2 linked regions of the Oryzias latipes genome follow. The protein of the gene in region 1 interacts with the protein of each later gene in a biochemical or structural test. Links are inferred from orthologs where the notes say so. Each region holds a gene or a part of one and is shown on either strand. Other genes may lie near its edges.

The links. The genes of interacting proteins can lie anywhere in the genome.
Region 2: the proteins of reps2 (region 1) and epsin-1 form a complex in vitro, tested with the Homo sapiens proteins (3 studies listed by BioGRID and IntAct, with this or other methods). The link is inferred for Oryzias latipes from reciprocal best matches to the Homo sapiens genes REPS2 and EPN1.

The regions. Positions count from the first base shown.
Region 1 is NC_019862.2:28,744,833-28,748,344, forward strand, and holds part of reps2 (ralBP1-associated Eps domain-containing protein 2), read left to right. Parts: intron 1-1,093; coding exon 1,094-1,227; intron 1,228-2,721; coding exon 2,722-2,827; intron 2,828-3,512. UniProt on the Homo sapiens protein: Involved in ligand-dependent receptor mediated endocytosis of the EGF and insulin receptors as part of the Ral signaling pathway. By controlling growth factor receptors endocytosis may regulate cell survival.
Region 2 is NC_019874.2:19,874,786-19,878,889, reverse strand, and holds the start of epsin-1, read left to right. Parts: upstream 1-1,301; 5' UTR 1,302-1,454; intron 1,455-1,461; exon of another isoform or gene 1,462-1,688; intron 1,689-2,140; 5' UTR 2,141-2,226; intron 2,227-2,475; exon of another isoform or gene 2,476-2,548; intron 2,549-4,104. UniProt on the Homo sapiens protein: Binds to membranes enriched in phosphatidylinositol 4,5-bisphosphate (PtdIns(4,5)P2). Modifies membrane curvature and facilitates the formation of clathrin-coated invaginations. Regulates receptor-mediated endocytosis.

The sequences.
Region 1 (3,512 bases):
TAAAGGCTCTAAATAAATGTTCTGCCTCTCCTGGAGGGTGTTTCAGTTTGACCACTAGGTGGAGCTGGCGCTGTAGCTACAGCATTGTACTCTACCCCAGAAGATTTGAGCAAAAAACCACAAGCGGTTACTGTAAAAAATGCTTCCGTAAAAGAGTTCATGCCTGTGAGTCTACAAAGCTGTTCATTTAGTCTGCAGTGTATATTTAGGTCGAACGAGCGTTAGCATTAGCCGTCCTATGGGAAATCATCTACAAATTCATCTTCTTAACCGTTTTGTCCCTTTTGTGGTCATGGGGCTGCTGGAGCCTATCCTGGCCACTTGTGGGTGAAGGCAGGGGACATCCTGGACAGCTCGTCAGTCTGTCGCAGGGCCACAATCACACACACTCACATTCACACCAATGCACAATTTAGAGTCACCAATTAACCTATGAAGCATGTTTTTGGACGGTGGGAGGAAGCCGGAGTCCCTGGAGAAAACCCACGCATGCACAGGGAGAACATGCAGCCACTGTACATGTATCAGAGCCTATTAGTAAAGTGAACATGAACCTGCCGTCAATATTTTGGAAAATTTCTAACAGTTTACAGTTGTACACCATGATCATTTCAAAGCTTGATCTCGCCAAATATCACAAAATCTTGTGAGAGTAGCGTTAGGTCAAAGGAAAGAGTCATCTCTATTTTATGAATCGATTATTGATCTTGGATCAATTCAGATCAATTAATCGGTTCTATCAACCCAGCACTAGTGGTTCTCTCTAAAAAAAGAAATGTGTCAAAAATTCTTAAACTCAAAAAAGCAGTTTTGTTTTTTTTAAAGAAAAATATCTACCAATTGGATAAAAACTTGGTGACTTCTAGAAATGTTCACTTCCAAACTGAGAAAGTCCTGCATTTTGTGGTACATCACAAATTAGTGGCGAATGGCGTGAAGGGGTGCAGTAGTGTTGAAAGGATAAGGGGCATGAGGGCAGTTCTGCATCTCTGGGCTCCAGCAGCATCTTCTCCATTTGAAGGTAAACTAACCAAACATTAAATGAACCTAACACCGGTTCTCTTTGTGCTTTTCTTCTTGATGTCTTTTTCAGGACATTTCTGGGACGTGTCACAGCCAGGCACCACAAAAGCCAGTTCGCAGGAAATACCATGCAGAGAGCCAAGACTCTGAGGGCATCCCCCCACCTGCCGTGCCGTTCCCCCTCCAGGACAAGCCGGTTCAGAAGTGAGTCCAACACTTGTAGCCTGAATCTTTGCTGATTCTGTCTTCAGTAGCTGAAGCTGCAACAGCGGGTCAGTCCGATGAAATCTGGGTGTTTTTTGACTTGGTTCAGTCCCATTTAAAGCGGGAGGTCGTTCTCCTCCTCCGCTTGGCGCTTTTTTGTCATCAAAGGCAGGACTTTGGTTGAATCCGAAACAGAACAGTGGAAACTTAAATGTGAAAAAACTTAAATGTGACCAACCTAAACCTGCTGTGAAAAAATCAATCTTTCATCACACAATGTGTTTTATTCAGCTCCTTTTGATTTTCTTATAAAAATAAACACCCCATACAACAAAGAATGAGGGACAGAACTAGCTCTAATAGAGACATGGCTTAACTTGATCCAAAAAAACAAAAACCAGAACAGTCGGTTTGCTTGTAATCACTATTGCATTTAATTTGAAACTGAAAGACTTTCTTTTATAAAAGAAATCCTTTAGCAAATTTAAACATATTTCCACATATTGGCAGTTCAATCTGCTTTTAGTTAAACAATTATGCTTTTAGATCAGCTATCTAAAAACTTGCTTTAAATGCTTAATTGGATAACTTTATAAATGTATAACTTAACATATAATTTCATGCATTAATTATTTAGCAGAGTTTTACATATTCAAAGTAATGCAGATTTCTTTCATTATGTTTATCAATTCATCATGAACTATTTTACATAAACAAAAGCCACCAAAGTGATGCATTTATTTGACCAATAAAGAACAAATCCATAAAATGTCTATGAAAAACAAACACAACCATAACTTTATCATAAAAGAAAAGGTTAAAAAAAAGCTAAAGGCTAGATTGTGCTGCTCACAAACTTTACAGGAACATTTTGACATGTCATTATTGTCATTTGATAGTTGAGGAATAACTGACTGTTGAATACATGGAAGCATTTAAAAATTCCTTTCATGGCTGCAGAGTTCTATTTGGAAAGAGTCTTTATAGTCTGTGAATGTTCCCTCATTTAAAAAACTGTTGGTTCTAGTTTGCGTTTGCTGCACGTTCTGGACAGAAAGCAGCAAACCAGATCCTTCTTGAGTCCAACTTAAAGAAAAATAATAAATAAAGCTAAACCACTGTTGTTCATTTGTTCAGCTCTTTGGATTCTTTGGGATGTGTGCGTGTTCGGATGCAGTTTGGAAAATGAGGCGTTCTGATGCTGTCTTGGGGATTGTTTAGCGAACCTTTGAGTCAGCTTGAAAAACCCATGAAACCTGAACAGAAAGGGGGATTCAGCCGACATCAAGGCACGCACTAATTCACCATAATGACTCTAGCATGTGTGGGTCCGTCTCCTCTCGGAGCAGACGGACGGCTCGCTGAAACTATCGGAGCAGTAAACAGGGACCATCAATAACCACGGCGGCTCCGGAGCGAAGGCGGCCCTCTGTTGGCCGATCCTTTGGAGGAGCACGCACGTTTCATCTGCTGATTCTTCTGATGCTCTGTCAGGCTGCAGTCCAAGCAGAAGAGGACGATCCAGATGGCGATCCGTAAGAACAGGGAGACTAACGCCGTCCTGACTCGCCTGAACAGTGAGCTGCAACAGCAACTTAAGGTAGGGGGACTCTTTGATTTTTGGATCAACAGAACATTTTCCTGTAAGACTGTGTTTGTTTGGGTTTGCTTCTTCATTCTTTGCCCTCTCTGGAAAACCAGGATGGGAATAACAGACCTGCAGACCTTAGAGGTTGCACGTTTGACCCCTTAAGGCCTGATGTAACTTTAGATCATCTAGGTTCCAACGCTGAGGGGGGAGGCGCCCCGACCTGAACCTCTGTCACAGCAAACTACAGTATTCTGCGGCTCAACAAAAGTGTGCTCCTGTTTGTGGGGGAATTTGAGGTCGGCTCGTTTGCAAATGACAGAAAAACCTTTTCTTTCACCGCCTCGACTTAGTGAAAAGCTTCGAGCTCAGGCGTGTGTGTGTGTCCCCCCCGCCATCACTCAAAGCTGAACTAATGACAGAGACTGGGCTGTTTACGTTGCAGATCCGCCTGTGGCACACTCACTCACATTACCAACACATGCTGCATGCCTGTCATTCTGCTTGTACGTGCTCTTTCACGCTCACGTGGAACGCCTTTAATGTTGTCATGCAACGCAGGCTGCGCCGCAAAATAAAACAACACATTTCTCCAGTTTGATCAACTCTGGTTTCACTGGAGGGGATTATTTTAATATATTTTTTTTCTTCTTCTGTTGGAAAAAATGTCAACTGGGATGATTTAGATTCACTCCAT
Region 2 (4,104 bases), on another chromosome or scaffold:
AGGCTCAGATGAGGGATCTAGTAGAGCTTTCCTGACACTTACTGGGAAGTTGCATAAGGAACATCTTCTGTTACACTGTCAAATTTGCTGAAGCTTTTCACTTCTTTAACAAAAACTTTGTTGTTTTTTTTGTCCTTAAGGCACATGATGCATTCTCCTTAAAACCTATAATATAATTGTAATAAAATAAACACAAAAAAAACAACTAGTACCAAGAACTGCTATAAGAATAATAACAGAAAAAACAAGTTTAATGAGCACAAAGAAGAAACAAACAGGATGGTGACATCATCCACTGGTTTAATCAAGTAACAAGAGCTAGAATTAGTGGCATTTAGTTACTAATAGGATTTAGAATGCAAATTGTCCTCTGCATCAGTTTCCTAGTAGATTTTGAATAAGATGAAAATGTGACATAGAGAGCATGAAATGGGATGATTGAAAGTCACAATTAAACATTGTCTTTTCTGTACAACAAATAAAAATAGTGCCATCTTGTTGGTGAGTTAAAAAAAAAAGAAAAAAATAGTCTCCTAGTAAATTATGACAAAATTGCAATTTTTCTAAATAAAGGGATTAAAAAAAAATCCTGAACTAAACTTTCAACACTGTTTTCTTGTTTGGTTTTTATGGCTCCACTAACGGGCCACAGGCTTTTTGTGGCTTCGTTTAAATCAAGACATACGGTAGTCCAATGGTGCCTCTTTGTGGACAAAATCATTCATTGCATTTTTAAAAATAAACAAAATACTCACATAGTAAAAATAATCAATATATTTAAGGTGTACTCTGTTACAATTTAAAAGATATTTAAATCAATTCATTTTTTCAATTATGTAAAAATAAAAAGAAAGAAAGAAAAAAAGAAATTAACATGCACACAGACAAATAAATAATAAAGGAAGTGAAAGTTTCAACTGATGTTTCTGTTACCATTTGTCCTTGTTAGTTCTTGATTTTTATACTCTGCTTTCAGTTTCTCTGTTTGATGGATAACCAAGGTTATTATGCTTCTAAAATTTTGCAAAAATAGGCACTGCTATTTGTTAGCTATTTTTGTCTCTAATTGACTCCTCTATATTCACTCTTCTTAGTTGACCTAAATGAAGGCAGGGCTCTCGTACACGTGCACAAAACAAACAATAGAAGAAGAACATTTATTTAATCAATGGAGGACTTCGTGTTTACTTTTCTTTCCTTTGACTAAACAGCTTCAAATGCGGCATGATTTTTAATACAAGGTTTGTGCAACAAAATAAAATTTAAAAAATGCATTTTTATGTTTGTTTCTGGGCTGTTTTGAATTGTGACTGGTGTGAAAAGTATATGAATTAATCATGAGTTATACCAGCATGGCATGATGAAAACACAGCTACAGGGGGTGCGGTCTTTCCTGTAAGGAAGCACGGAAGCGGAAATTCGGCCATCTCCTCGTACATTCAAGCTGCAACAGGGTTAGTACACACTTCATTTAGGTATTTATTTATTGTTTTGTTTGCATCTCCAACAGTTTTGCCCATATGACTTTTTGATGAGTGTCTTCAACACTCCCCCGCAGCAGAACACGCGTTTTAAATGCCGCACAACAAAGCAGTCAGATGGCATTCACGAACTAGCATCAGAAGCTAGCTAGCTAACAGTTACATTCAAGGAGCAGCAAGTGATTTCTTGGTATGGGAAACTGTCAGGTAACGTTACCTTCGTGTTCACTCTGCTGAGGGTCAGCGATATGACGTGAAGATTTCTATTTGGTTTGCATTAGTTAGCCCGCTTCTTTGCTCCCGTCTTGTGGACCCAAGTTAATAGTTTACCTAGACTTTACTTAGACAAACTGTTTCGATTAGCCATATGCTAGCTAGCTAATGTTAGCCATAAAATGACAGCTACTTTTAGTTACGTGTTTTTTTTTTTGTTTTTAACTTTTGTCTCACATAAAGACTTGGCGACACCATAGTATTCTGTATAATTGCTGAATGGTGTTGTACCTATTTGGCTTCTTTAAAGGCGTTCATACGTTAAGAGTTGCATAACGTGTATTAATATTAGGTTGCTAGCCAACCTTTAGCTTGTTAACTTAATAGGTGTGACAGGCAAAATCCAATTTTGTCTGACTGGGTAACGGTTGTTGGCTTATCTACAGTTTAGTTATCTGGATGGAAACCTTTTCTTTACGGGCCTGCGCACCGTCAACTGCATGATAACACAAGAGAGGAGGAATAATTGAAAGTAAGTTGAGTTCAGTGTCAGCTCTGCTACTTGATGTTAGTTTGAATTAAATTAAAAGTTTCAATCAAGCTAATACCAGAGCTCTCACTTTTTTAATGTTAAGTTTTAAATTGTGGCCTGGATGTATTATCTTATATTAGTTCTAGCTTTACTAGCCAAGTTAGTTTTAATATTGCCAAAAATATTACGATTTTTTTTTCCCGAGATGTAACTGAGCTGAATGTTTTTTTGTTTGTTTGTTTTTATTAGTAGAACAAGTTGAACCTTCCAGCTGCTTAACTTCAGTGTCAACATATTCCAGAACCTCAACCTTACACACAAGGTGTGTTTGTACTTTGCTCAGCCATGCTGCGAGTGACAAAGGTTAAAAAATAGTTAACCACTAAATGAAATTCGCGTTTTTCAAAATTTAGATTTTGAGATTGAAGTCAAAGCTGTAAAAATAATCATAAATCAAAGTTGTCAGTAAATGTTCATAGATGAGCTTAAAATCATGAGCAAATTTAGTTTTATCAATGTTACTAGCAAGTTGAGGGAGTGGTCCTGCTATCAGCTGCTGTCATTAGAAGTTAACAAAGTGGCGGCAATCTTTATGCAGGTCAGTGTTATGTCACATAGGTGTAGTTCATGTTAGGCTTGCCAACATTTTCCTGAATAAATAACTGCACTATTCTGTTAAGTGCATGGGAAGCGTGATAGACAATATGTTCTTAAAGGTTTGGGGGGAGAATGAAGACGTGTTTTTTTTCTTTCTTATTTTAGCAAAAATAATGCAAAATTAGCTTTTTCGTCTCTCAAAATTAAAAGATTTAGGGTTAAGCTGTTGTTTTTTGTGACTTAAAATAAAACACCCTTTTACTACAAATGTTAAGTGTGTGGAGATACTGTAACATTTAGCTGCAATATTTAGTTTAGCATGCTGATGGTTTATTCATTCAAAAAAGTGGATCATGATGTTTCATAATCCACTGTTTTTAGTCAAACTGTTGGTGGACTCTGAAATTGTAATCCCTTTAGTATCACTCCATAATCAGTCATTTCCATTTAAATTTGTTTTTTTTATAAATATATTTGTTGCGTGTTCTTTACAGTTGGTATAGATGAATGAGCCTGATCTTCTCGTACCATTACTTGTATACAAATGAAAAACAATGTAGTATTGGAGTTAATTCAAGACCCTTTACATGACCACCTATTAATGAAATTATCAATTTGCTGCTTTTTGCATCACACCTCTTCATTTTTAAGAAAACTCAAATTGCATCTCTAGAAAATTTGGGGTTTGTTGCATCCATTTTGTTGTTGTTGTGGTTTTGTACCAAAAGTTGAGGTTTTAGTTGTTAGGGAAAGTACAAAAGGGAAAGGATACATCTGGTCAGCAACTATGGTTTAACCTGCTGTGCAAGCAATTGAGAACAAACGATACACAAGAGGGAATGGCCTGGGGTGAAACGGTGGGCCTCATAATATTTCACATAATCATGCATAGCATGAAGTAAAACAGATTAGGTCATGTCTGTGATTATTTTAAAAACGAAAGCACTAATAAAAACAACAGCTTACTGACCCCAGACTCCTCAGCCTTACTTTTTGGTCCTTTTGACTCATTGTAGGTTTTAACGACATTGTACCTAAACTTATGCTTTTATTAGAAAAGCTGTGTTTATAATTACAGTTTATTGTTATTATAACCATTGTTTTCTTTTGGTTTCTAGCTGTTAGTGGTGAAATAAGGGAAGTTGTTTACAGAACTTTAAGTAACAGATCTTTTTCACAACCTAATTCAATGACCTCTTGAAGTTTTAAAGGACTTGCTAGTAAGCTGCATGTGTTTCGATTCTTTTAAAAAATATGGACGCTTCCCTCTAAAGCTCATAA